Schizosaccharomyces pombe: one gene and its partners. The gene in region 1 interacts genetically with each later gene. Each region holds a gene or a part of one and is shown on either strand. Other genes may lie near its edges. The genes, in order: psy1, vps5 and spo3.

Region 1 (3,839 bases):
ATCCAGAACTGATGATGAACTTCGATTCCGTTCATATACGTATAAACACATAAACTGTTAAAACAATGCTGTTATCGTCTTTTAAAAAACCAAATAAATTTTGTTGGTTTCTACCAATATAAAACCCGAGAATGATGTAAAACACTGCTGGGGTAAAGAACGAAGCAGCATGCCATGAATAAACAAAATAACAATGCCAGACGTGTAGTCCAAATATTTTACACTGCAACTTAAGTAACGAGCGATGAGTGAAAATGAAAAGACTTTCCAGAGTCCATAAATCACAATCGGACCGTTCAAACGGGAAATATGCTAAAAAGGTAAACGTTTCAAAGGTGATATCTAACCGGCCATATCACTGCAGCATTTGAAAATAAATACATTTGCAGCAACTCAAATATTAAGTAAGGGTAGATGGGGAAACGGAAAGGTGTAGACAGGGATTGTAATAACGATCGCAGAGAATTTTGCAAGAGATGGATGAAAGGAAATGAAAATGAATAAGAATAACGTGGATAAAGGGTGAAAAAGGTAAAATTGTACAAACTATACAAGTCCAAGGAAGAAAGGTTTAAAAGAAAAGAAACAGAAAAAAAAGGGGTAAGCAAAAGGATTATGGTTAGAACAGTCAAGATACTAGAAGAATAAAAGAATATCATTAAAACCAAGTAATGAAAAACATGATTTTTTAAAAGAAAAAAACTTTTCATGCAACAAGGAAGAATGACCGTTGATCAATGTCTATTGCCAAGAACAGGAATCAAAACACCACATAAAACAGCAACGATTACACAAATGATAACAACACAAATACCAAAGCAAATCCACTTTTTCTTACGAGCTGCTCTAGCGCTCTTGATAGCTCTATCCATATGCTGAGTTCCTTCACCCATATTCGTGCGAACGTTAACAGCATCCGTTACAATTTTATCCACCATTGGTTCTTGCTCCTGTACCATAGTAGCCATATCCTGGAAAAGCTGTGCAAGTTCAGCAATGGTTCTTTCAATTCTTTTAATATCGGCATGACGCTCCTGGACTTCCCGTAATGCAGTGCGAGCTTCACCAGACCGATTTGATCGAAGCAAAGCCTGAGCAAATACTTGTCCACCATTTTCTTCATTTATAGCGGTTTGAAAATCATCTTCAGTAGCCCTGGGGTTGGCAATTTCAAGCTGCCGACGCATACGTTGTTCATATTGAGCACGATATGTCTTTTCTATTTGTAAAAAGTGACGAATTTGGTCCATAAATTTCTTTTTTACAGCTTCGGTCTGTGTTTTTCTGGTGGCTGTGTCATTATCGGGTGGCAGCTGCATATTTTGAGACTCTAATGACCGGATGGCCAACTGAACGCTAGTTTGGAGACGTCGAGTATCTGATGTGTAACCTTCTAAATGGCGAGTCGTAGCTGCAATATTTGCTTCGTCAATTTCTTGCAGCGATTGTTGATGCAACATCTCAATTCGACCGACATTATCTTCGATTTGACGAATGGCATCGCGAATATGATCGATCTCTTCAAAAAACTCTCCCATACTAAGAGGGATCATCTCCACTCCTAGTGTATAATCGTTTGCTTTATTCATTTTGTTATATTTATCTGTTTAAACCCGTTTTGTTGAACAAACAAGGTATAGATACCTTCTGTTGTTGTTGGTTAAAGACAAGAACGTTTTTCCTACTAAAAATAAAGAATCATACAGCAGCATTTAACGAATGTTTTCGCAGACAATGGTAAACAAAAGGCGGCTTAGCAACAACACACTGTTGAAAGTCCGCCAATCATAATCAAATCCGAGCTTTGTGTGACGTAGCAGTGTTTACTTTTTAATGTTGTACAATACAATCCGTTAAACTTGATATCAAAAATATACGCCTAATACTTAAAAATTGAATTCCAAGGAAGTTGGAGTTTGTTAAAATCACAATAGGATACTCTCCTCGTTATTTGGACTTGTATGAGGTACGAATAAGGAGTGAAGTTTTCTTGATATTCTGGTTGAAAAGAAAGATTTTTGCTGTAGTTTATTTCAAGAAATGCATAAAAAATATTTAATTGTTTTTCGTAGTTGATGGAGTTGACTGTCTCGGAATTAATCGTTCTTTTTTGTTTTTGTTTTTTAACACTAAAAGCAATCATGGTTTGAATGCCATTGGAAACGAGAAAGGAATGCTGAAAATTTTAGTTATCATTGTCGGTAATTTTTCTCTGATCTATACTTCTAGGTTTGAATTTGAAACAGAAGTAATCGATATCCTAAGTGATTTTCTTTGAGTAATTAAAAAGATAGTAACTATATACCTCAATATAGGTAGAAATATTTTGACATTAATGAATAAATTAAAATAGAAATTGTAGCCCCTCCAATCCCTAAGCTGTTATGGTTGAAAAGCAATTCGCATCATGTAACATTACAACGTTGCTAATGGAATAAAACAAAAGTCCTGAACAGAAATTTCAAATATTTTACTAAAGTTTTAAAGGTTTAGTAAATGGAACAATATTTTGATGGGACCAGGTCATAATGTATGGTATCGTAGATTTAAAAAATACACAAAATTTGATGACTTCAATGCAAAACATTAAACTCAGAGATTGGATGCACCAAAGAAGAAAAGAGACTATACACATATTTTGTAGTTTTAGAGGGGGATGGCAAAAAGGTATGAAGCATGTGTGTATACGGAAGCTCAATTACCAATCCTTTCTGGACTTCGTATAAAGTATATAATAGTCCGGATGAATTACTTTTCCTGATCTAAATTTTTTCTCTTGGGGAGATGACTCATGAGGTACAAAATCAAAATGATGATAGAAATTCAAGGCGTTTAAATTGGCGCTAAATACTGTCAGGAAAATATATTTTAGGTTTCGTCGATATGCAAGTATACTTGCATTTTTTAATAACCATTTCCCAACGTTCCTCCCTCGTATATGCTCATCTAGCTGTATCTCATATATGTATAAACAAGTCAGACCTGCTTCCACAGTGTCTTCAAAACTCAGAAATCCTACCAATTTTTTCGAGGTTTTTTCAAAAATACAAATATACTCTAATTTTTCCATCTCCATTTCCTTCAATTTCTCTGAATCATCCCATCCGAAGGAGCTTTGTCGATATAGTGCTTCCATGTTCTTTTTTACCAAATTGAAACATTGCTGAAGAAGTCCTTTTTCTAGATGATGATATATCTCCACCCAAACCCCTAAGTTTTTTAAAAAATCAACGTCTTCGAGTGTAACATTCTTGATTTCCTGGGTCTTCATACGTCTGGGTGAGTAAAAGAGGTATTGCTTCAAAAAATGCATAATGTTGTTAAGGTATCAATATCACATTACACTTTTAAAAACCAAAGATTGAATAAGGGTTTAATACATATCGAGCAAAATGCTATCATTTTTATTATTGTTGCTACAGCAAGCCTACTTAGTAATACACGATAACAAAAAATGAATATTCTTAATCATCTAATAATTCCTATTTCCAATAATCGTTTTAAGCCGTATCCTTTATTCAAATAACAGCAGTTGTATTAATTTAGAGCTTGACTTCTGATGAAACCGGAAGAGACCTTAAACGCAATATGCAACTTTAAAATATATATATAGTTTCCAAAGATAGAAAGAAACTTGCAAACAAAAAAAAACTTTTACAAACAATTTCGGGGTCATTAACGCGTATATTTCAATTAGCATGATTTAACTTCAAGGCATTTTAGCAGATAGATGATGCTCTAAAGGCATATTTGCTAAACCCACTGCTTGTGGATAAAAATTTGCTACAACTTGTAATTAGCAGAGCAGTAAAAGTTTTTTTCATCGTTATCAAGTTTAG
Region 2 (3,839 bases), 330 kb from region 1:
TGGACGTAAGGCTCTACAAAAAGGTTGGGGTTATCAAGAAGGGCCCAGGCCATGTGCATTAAAGTAGTAAGAACCACAAGATTTCCTAAGTTTCGAGTTACAGAATCCGATAAAAACATTATGAAGTATGGTAAAAGTTGGTGTAATCCGGGGTCGTCACGTAAACTCGATAGGGCAGCATCACGGAGCTCAACATTAGTTTCATCAAGCAATGCACTGGTAATACGCTCAAAATAAAGCTGTAACTCTTTGGATAGCACATGTCGCACCAACGGTTTTATCTCAACGTTGTCCATCGAAGTGACACCGTTTCGAGCTTCTTTAGCAGCAGTTGAAGCACCTGGCATAACCCCTGAAGTACCCTTGGATGCCCATTCTCCAACTGTGTGATCTGAGGGAGTTGGATTTTGAGGAATGGCTGGCTGCACACCTTCGATGGCCAGCCAGTGTGCACTGTAAGAAATGTTTCTAGGGACTTTAGGGAGAGGAGCGTTTATGATTTTTTCAAAATCCACTTCCTCATCATCAAGGTAGTAAAGGGAATTTTGGCCTGCACCTACAGCGGCTTCATGAAATTCTAATGGACGAGAATTATTGAAGCCGTATAACGGCTCAACATTCAACGTCCGTAACGCTGAAGAGATATCTGCGCTAGTTAAAACAGTTCTTTTAGAATGAACCATAAACTTAGTGGCTTCCTAAATCAAATACTGTTAGAGAATTATGTTTAATGTCAGAATAAAGCAGACTATCTAGCAAATTGAAAGGCATCGTAAAAAACTAGCAACAATTTTTTAGTTATTTTAGCCTCTTCCAAAGAAAGTAAAATCTCATAGTCTACTTTCACGAAACCTACCTGAACCACCTGATGAATTCTATATTCGAGATCCATTGCAATAGCTGCTGCTGGTTCATCGGCAAGATTGCCAATCCCAAGCATTTCAGCAACATCTTTGATGGATTCAATATTCCATACTGTCAAGGACATGACTTGGTAGTAAGATGAACGATTTATGGATCAATGAGTGAATTGCATCTGCAGAGAAGTAGTTAACGATGTTAGAAGCAACTGCTTTATTTAACATACTTGTCAGCAATACTACACTACGCTATAATACACTACGTTGCGTATCACTATATGTCACATGTTCTAATTATATATCGTACCATGTATGATACGATATGGAGATTGATCTTAATGATAATCTATTAAGATCTATATTATCTGAATACTATAAATAGAGCTACTGCTGAACCTCGTTCCTCAGTTCAGTTATGAGCTATATTAGTGATAGGTAACATTATAACCCAGTTAATACAATACCTATACTCAGTTGCTACTTATACAACCTGTGTATTGTAATATAATAGATCACAAGGAAAACTCACCGCAGTTCTACGTATCCTTAAATCAGATACCAAACTGCGTAGCTTACAAGACAGTGAGCTACACTAAAATCGCTATTAAACATTACGTTACGCATCAAAATACACTACATGGAATACCAATTAATCTCAATTTGTTGAACAATAGCAGAAGACTATATGTTTGTTTACTAAAACATCCATTGATATTGATATAAAATAGTAGTTAAAATTAGAAGTCTAGATTGAACAGAGCATCATTCTCAGTCCAGTTATTAGCTGTTACAATGATAAATATATTATCACCCACCACTCACAATACTGTATAACGCAATATACTGCTTCTACAAGCTAAATATAATTTAATGTAGCCTTAAAAGGAATTAGAAACTTGAATTGTTGACACTTATCTAGTTGCACCGCAAGTCACCCCGCATTGCTAAACGTATTTAACCATCGTTATTTTTCGCTAGTCGTCGTTGGGCTGCGCATCACCATTTCAGGCACGATTTCAGTGATCAGATCCAAAAACCCAACCGGCCACCATCATGCTTGGGCATAATATATATGAAGAAGACGATGCATTTAATCCATTCGCAGATTCCGTTTCTCCACTGAACCCTCCAAAAACCGACCAAGAGCCCTCAGCTGAAGGAGTGGAAGAAGAGTCGCCGAATGTTCAAGCTTCTCCACCAAAAACTCATATCTATACATCTCCTAGGAAACGAAGCGTCAATTTGAAATCTCTTCCGTTTGAAACGTTAACTTTGGATTCTGCACCTTTAGGTCCCTTGCAATTTTCTGATGCACCTTCTATGGCACCCGAAAACAACCGTTTGGAAGTTGGTTTAAATACAAAAATTAATCCGTTAAAAGGATCTAGTCCCGCTTTGAATGCAGATTTTTCTGCAAATAAGCCTTGGATCTCAGAAGTGAACTCCTTTTCCCCTTCTCCTATCGGAGCAACGGAAAATCCCACTATACCAAATTCAGAACAGACGGTAGATACTTTAGACGCTGCCTCATCTTCTGCTCCAAATTTTACACACACTGTCTCATCTGCCTCCTCCCAGAAGCAAGGTTCAACCTCATTAACAGATACGGAGAATCAGAAGGCGCACCCGGCAGCGGCACCTCAATCTCTTACCCCGTTTTACATCCAAGTTCATGACCCTCATACCGTTAAGGAAATCACTAAATCGCATACCGTATATTCGGTTTCCACTCGTTTAGAGGAACACAATCAACCTTCTGTTAGCAATGTGACTGTACAAAGACGATATAATGATTTTGCTTTTCTTTATCAATTGCTTTCTAATAATCATCCGGGTTGTATCATTCCTCCCATCCCGGAAAAGCAGGTTGTAGGCCGTTTTGATGATGAATTTATTGAACAGCGACGAGCAGCCTTGGAGGTAATGCTTCGCAAAATATCTGCCCATCCGGTTCTACGTGATGATTACTCATTTAAGTTGTTTCTTGAAGCAGAGACATTTGACCCTAGAATGACACATCGTACTACTCTCATTGAGAGTTCATCAAGTCCTTTGCGCTCAGGTCCCTCAACATCTGGTTTACTTGACTCATTCACCTCCGCCTTCCATACCTCTGGATCTTCTAAATTTTCCGAACAGGATCCAATTTTAATTGAAGCAAAGGATACACTTGATTCGTTGGAAACTCAACTAAAGTCGGTTTATCACGCGCTTCTTTTATCCATAGATCAACGCATACAGTTCGCTTCAGCCATCCATGATTTTGGCGAGGCTGTTGGAAATTTATCTTTAGTTGATTTAGAGCCCACCTTATCATCCAAGTTTGATGGTCTTTCCCAACTCCAGGTAGAGCTTCGATTTGTACAAGAACGTAAGGTTGCTCAAGACAATTTGACACTGGGCACTACATTGGAGGAGTACATTCGGTACGTGGAGAGTGCCAAAAATGCCTTTACTACACGTCAAAAGTTGTGGCAGACATGGCAATCTTCAGTTCAAGCTGTTTCTCGTGCTAAAACTCAACTTGAGAAATGTAAAAAGCAAGCGAAATCTCAGCAAAAATCACTCCCTTACTTGGAAGAACAATACGAAAAATATCGAGCAAAAGCTGCTGATCTGGAAAAAGAGTTTTCGGAATCAACAACTCTGTTAAAACGAGATTTGAGTTCTCTCACAACCAGTAGAGTTGATGATCTCAAAGCTAGTGTTGAAACGTGGTTGGAATCTGCAATTGAATCTCAAAAAGAAATTATTGAGCGTTGGGAATCATTTTTGGATCAATAACGACTCTAATTTTCCCTATGCACTCTTTTAATTTTTATGTTTTTCTTTCGTGTAATATTTCTATCCCATATTCGTATTAATGTATTTCCAACTACCGCTTTATTACTTTGCACTTCTCTAGCTGACGATTTCTATTCTATTCTAATTATTTTTTTGCAATTTCCCTTTTCGTCCATGGTACTTCATTACTTGAAA
Region 3 (3,600 bases), on another chromosome or scaffold:
AAACCATGTAGTCATAACCAAATAGGAAGATGCACCAAAGAGACCGGCCAAGCCTGTTCCGGAACTCCAGCACGGTAAAGACACAGAGTGATAACGACTTGATAGATGCAAGAAAGAGATTTCGCCAAAACTCGATGAAATGGCTGCCAGAGATACACCAAGCATTTTCGAAGGGACGGAGGAAGACCAAGCAATCCATTGCATTCCTAATATGGACATGAAAACACAAAAACCGATTCTCTTTGCAAACTTAAATTTATGAACATGAAGAATTGATGCTGACAACTTGCACGCCAAAGAAGGAACAATATTAGAAAGTAGTACCACACCCTTAGAAACGTTTGCGCCAACCAAATCTAAGGCAGCGGATAAAATTATCACGTAGAGAAGGTTGTTTAACAATCCAAAAATTAGGAAGCAACACCCTACTTTCGCATCTTTTGTTAACCTCAATTTAATCATGATTCGTACTATATTTAGTAGAAACTGAGGTCATAAATTTTAGTTTGAACCGGCAATACGATAGTAGACTTTTGTAAAGTGCTAGTCTACAAATTTGCTGTTGTTTCGCAAATAGCACACTTTAAAGCCCTTCTATCGATGACTTCATAGACGAGTTAACTTGTTACAAACTGTAAATAGCGAGGATCAACGAACTGAAAAGCAAGTCGAGATATGTTTAACATTTATTATTCGAGTAGCAATAAGTTGAAGAAAAGAACTCGTAAGCGCTTAAGGGTACAAAAAAAATTGAGTTTTTAGTAACTTCGTAAGAGAAAGGCTACTACCCTTCACGAATGGCGTATTGAGCGATTGAATTATTACGGTAATGTTGTCAGGTTCAAAAGAAACCGATTTTGAATGTTACACTGTTTTTTCCAAGCAACCGCTATCAAGCTAAAGCTTACCCTACTAAAATTTCAACGACTAGTAACTGACATGCCTTGCTTGCTGTGATCGAAAAGCTCCTAGTTTACTCATGCTTCGGTTAGCACTTCTTGAAATCTCCCAGGAAAACAATTACAACATCTTTAAATATTCTATTCACGTGTCTACAGCTTCTACTTATGAAGTTATTGTTTTTGGCACGAGATTTATTTTGGTTTAATTCCGATCTTCGTTTGCTTATGTTTAAAAACTCTAAATCGTAAATCAAAACAAATTGAATATAATATCGTATGAATGTGTCTTTACCGAACTACGGTTAACATCGTTATTGCATTATCACTTTGCTCAACAATAATATAAAATAGTAATACGCATGTATCTACTATAGATATTTCGTATTGCTTAGTCAATTTTTTTTTTTTTTTTTTACTAAATGAAGGTTTGACGCTCCGTTACGACTGTTTATAATAACGAATTGGAAACCGAACCGAAAAATCATCTCGTTCATTATCAAATTTGCCTTGTTTGCTTTGACCCATAACACATTACATTTAACAGTAATGGGATCATTATGTTAGTTACTGGGAATTATATTATGCTTGATGCTGTACTACAAATTTATAATACTGTCCATAGAAAGTGCGATATTGGCGTTTTAACGAGCGTTTCGCTATCATTCTCTAGTTTACAAATCGCACCTCACCATGGTTCATAAATCCAGCAGCTACAGCAAACAGCTGTTTGCAGACGCACTTTAGAGTTTGAATTTTAGAATCTCTTTTAAGTAAAGCTAAGAGACTTATAATCTCTTAGATTTCCTTTGGTTTTATATTAACTTCAATGAGCATAATGAATTATTATGCGATCACAGTGCCATCGACATGTTTCAACATTTTTTAAGCACATGCTGTTAATACTATTTAATCCACTAAACTTACTAATGAGAGTATCCTTTTAATCTACTGATAAACAAAAGGAGTTTTCGTGCTGTAAAATGGTAATTTTACAGTACCACCCTCTCCCTGTAATCGAAAATGCATACCAGATATGATGATGCACTCATTTTAACTCTCTTTAAACTATTAAAGTATATTCCATCATTTCCGTACCCTCGTTTCAGAATGTTCATATGCGACTTGTATAAACAACTCATATAATCTGAATGCAAAACTTCCCTCATTGTTAGAGATGATCATGTGTAGATCATCAAGTAAAAAAGATGGACGATGTGCGCTTCAATGAGTTAACACTCGCATCAAGCTTTTGGTAAAGCCTTTGACTCCTATTTTTTTTGCTCAGCCTTGTTATATTTTGTTTAAACCAGTAAGAAACTGATTAATAAAAGTTTCCCCACACTTTTGAATGTTTTGTCGAATAAGCACTGTTTTTCTGTTTGTTTACAGAGTCGATTGTTTCGGTTTGAGTGATATTTAAAGCAGCATTTTTTTTGTATATATAGAGCCTTTAGTACGAACTTTCTTTTCTTTACCGATTGATTTTTGTCAAATATCATTACTGTTGCATTCTTATCTTCTTGTGTCAATATTTTTTTTTCGGCACCTTGTGCTTCTTCTGATCGCAATTTTGTTTAGTATCGATATCGCGATTTTTTTGACTCTTCTTTCTTTAACTCTGGAACGCTCTTATTAGGGTGTTGTATTTATTTATTTTTTTAATTCTGACCTATTCTAATCTCTTTCAAAGCGATTGTTTACGTCCTATTATATCAAAAGTATTCAAAATTGCCACGAATACTGTTTCATAATAAGTTTTTCTATAAGTCTTTTTGAAAATATTATATAAAATAATATTTTCTTGTTTAGTCTCAAAAGCCATTACCTCGTGGTAATTTGATTCAAAAATAAAATGGGGATTTTGTCTGTCATCAGAATTTTCATTTATTGCTTAATAAGGCTTTTCAGTTTTAATTCTCGAAAGAGAAACTCTTCAATTGATGAACTGGAAAGGGGAGAAATCAATGCGTTTGCTTGTGACAAACAAAACACTCCATCACCTAATAGCGAATGTCGTCCCTTAACACCTCTTAATTCTCCATTTAGGAGAACAGTTGAGGGAGACACAGCAAATCTTCAAGCACCTAGCCCTACTGCATGCCCTTCTTTTGACTCTGCTTCGTCTATCAAGTCAAGTAAGGAAGACATTGCTTGTCGTAAATTGTCGACAGAACGTTTTTTTTATTCACCTAATGGTATCGATGAAATGAAAAAACAGCAACAATTTAAGAAAATACCTACTGTTTCAATTACAGAAGTTGAGCCTGCTTTCATCCCTAGCAATATGGAGCAAGCATTATTTTCAGAAGAGCCATTTGTTATCCAGGATGATCTATCACATCAGATAAATTTGGACGACAACAGGAAATTTTCAAGGATTCAAAAAAATAAGCTTGATCCCCTTATAACAGTAAATTTGGTTCCTATTGTGAACGGTGAAAACTGCTTCAACTTTTACGAAACCCAAATGGAAACAAATTTTCTTTCCCCTGAATTTATTAAAAAGCCATCTATGGTTGATCACAAGCGAGATTCAGAAATTAATGCAGTTACAGCTGTTTCTGCCGACGGCTCCTTCAGTCCTTTGACTGAAACACTTTCATCAACAATAAGCACGTTGTCTAACGATTCCCTGGATGGACTAAGCTCTCAAAAAAACGAATTTACTGGATTTAATAGCAATAGCGAATGGATACCT

What was found.
Region 2: of psy1 (region 1) and vps5, extra expression of one rescues a mutant of the other (dosage rescue), as found in Schizosaccharomyces pombe (one study listed by BioGRID).
Region 3: of psy1 (region 1) and spo3, changing one suppresses a phenotype caused by changing the other (phenotypic suppression), as found in Schizosaccharomyces pombe (one study listed by BioGRID).

The regions. Positions count from the first base shown.
Region 1 is NC_003421.2:1,027,558-1,031,396, forward strand, and holds the start of psy1 (plasma membrane SNARE Psy1), read right to left. Parts: upstream 1,663-3,839; 5' UTR 1,590-1,662; coding exon 735-1,589; 3' UTR 1-734. Other genes in the region: putative histone N-acetyltransferase Naa40, read right to left, coding at 2,699-3,271.
Region 2 is NC_003421.2:700,694-704,532, forward strand, and holds the start of vps5 (retromer complex subunit Vps5), read left to right. Parts: upstream 1-1,903; 5' UTR 1,904-1,913; coding exon 1,914-3,644; 3' UTR 3,645-3,839. Other genes in the region: TATA-binding protein-associated factor TAF6, read right to left, coding at 1-698, 857-988. UniProt on the Schizosaccharomyces pombe protein: Required for efficient sporulation target of PtdIns(3)P in vesicle transport required for onset of the forespore membrane formation. Plays a role in vesicular protein sorting.
Region 3 is NC_003424.3:2,051,191-2,054,790, forward strand, and holds the start of spo3 (sporulation protein Spo3), read left to right. Parts: upstream 1-1,607; 5' UTR 1,608-2,754; coding exon 2,755-3,600. Other genes in the region: btn1 (battenin CLN3 family protein), read right to left, coding at 1-462. UniProt on the Schizosaccharomyces pombe protein: Has a role in spore morphogenesis. Involved in the assembly of the forespore membrane.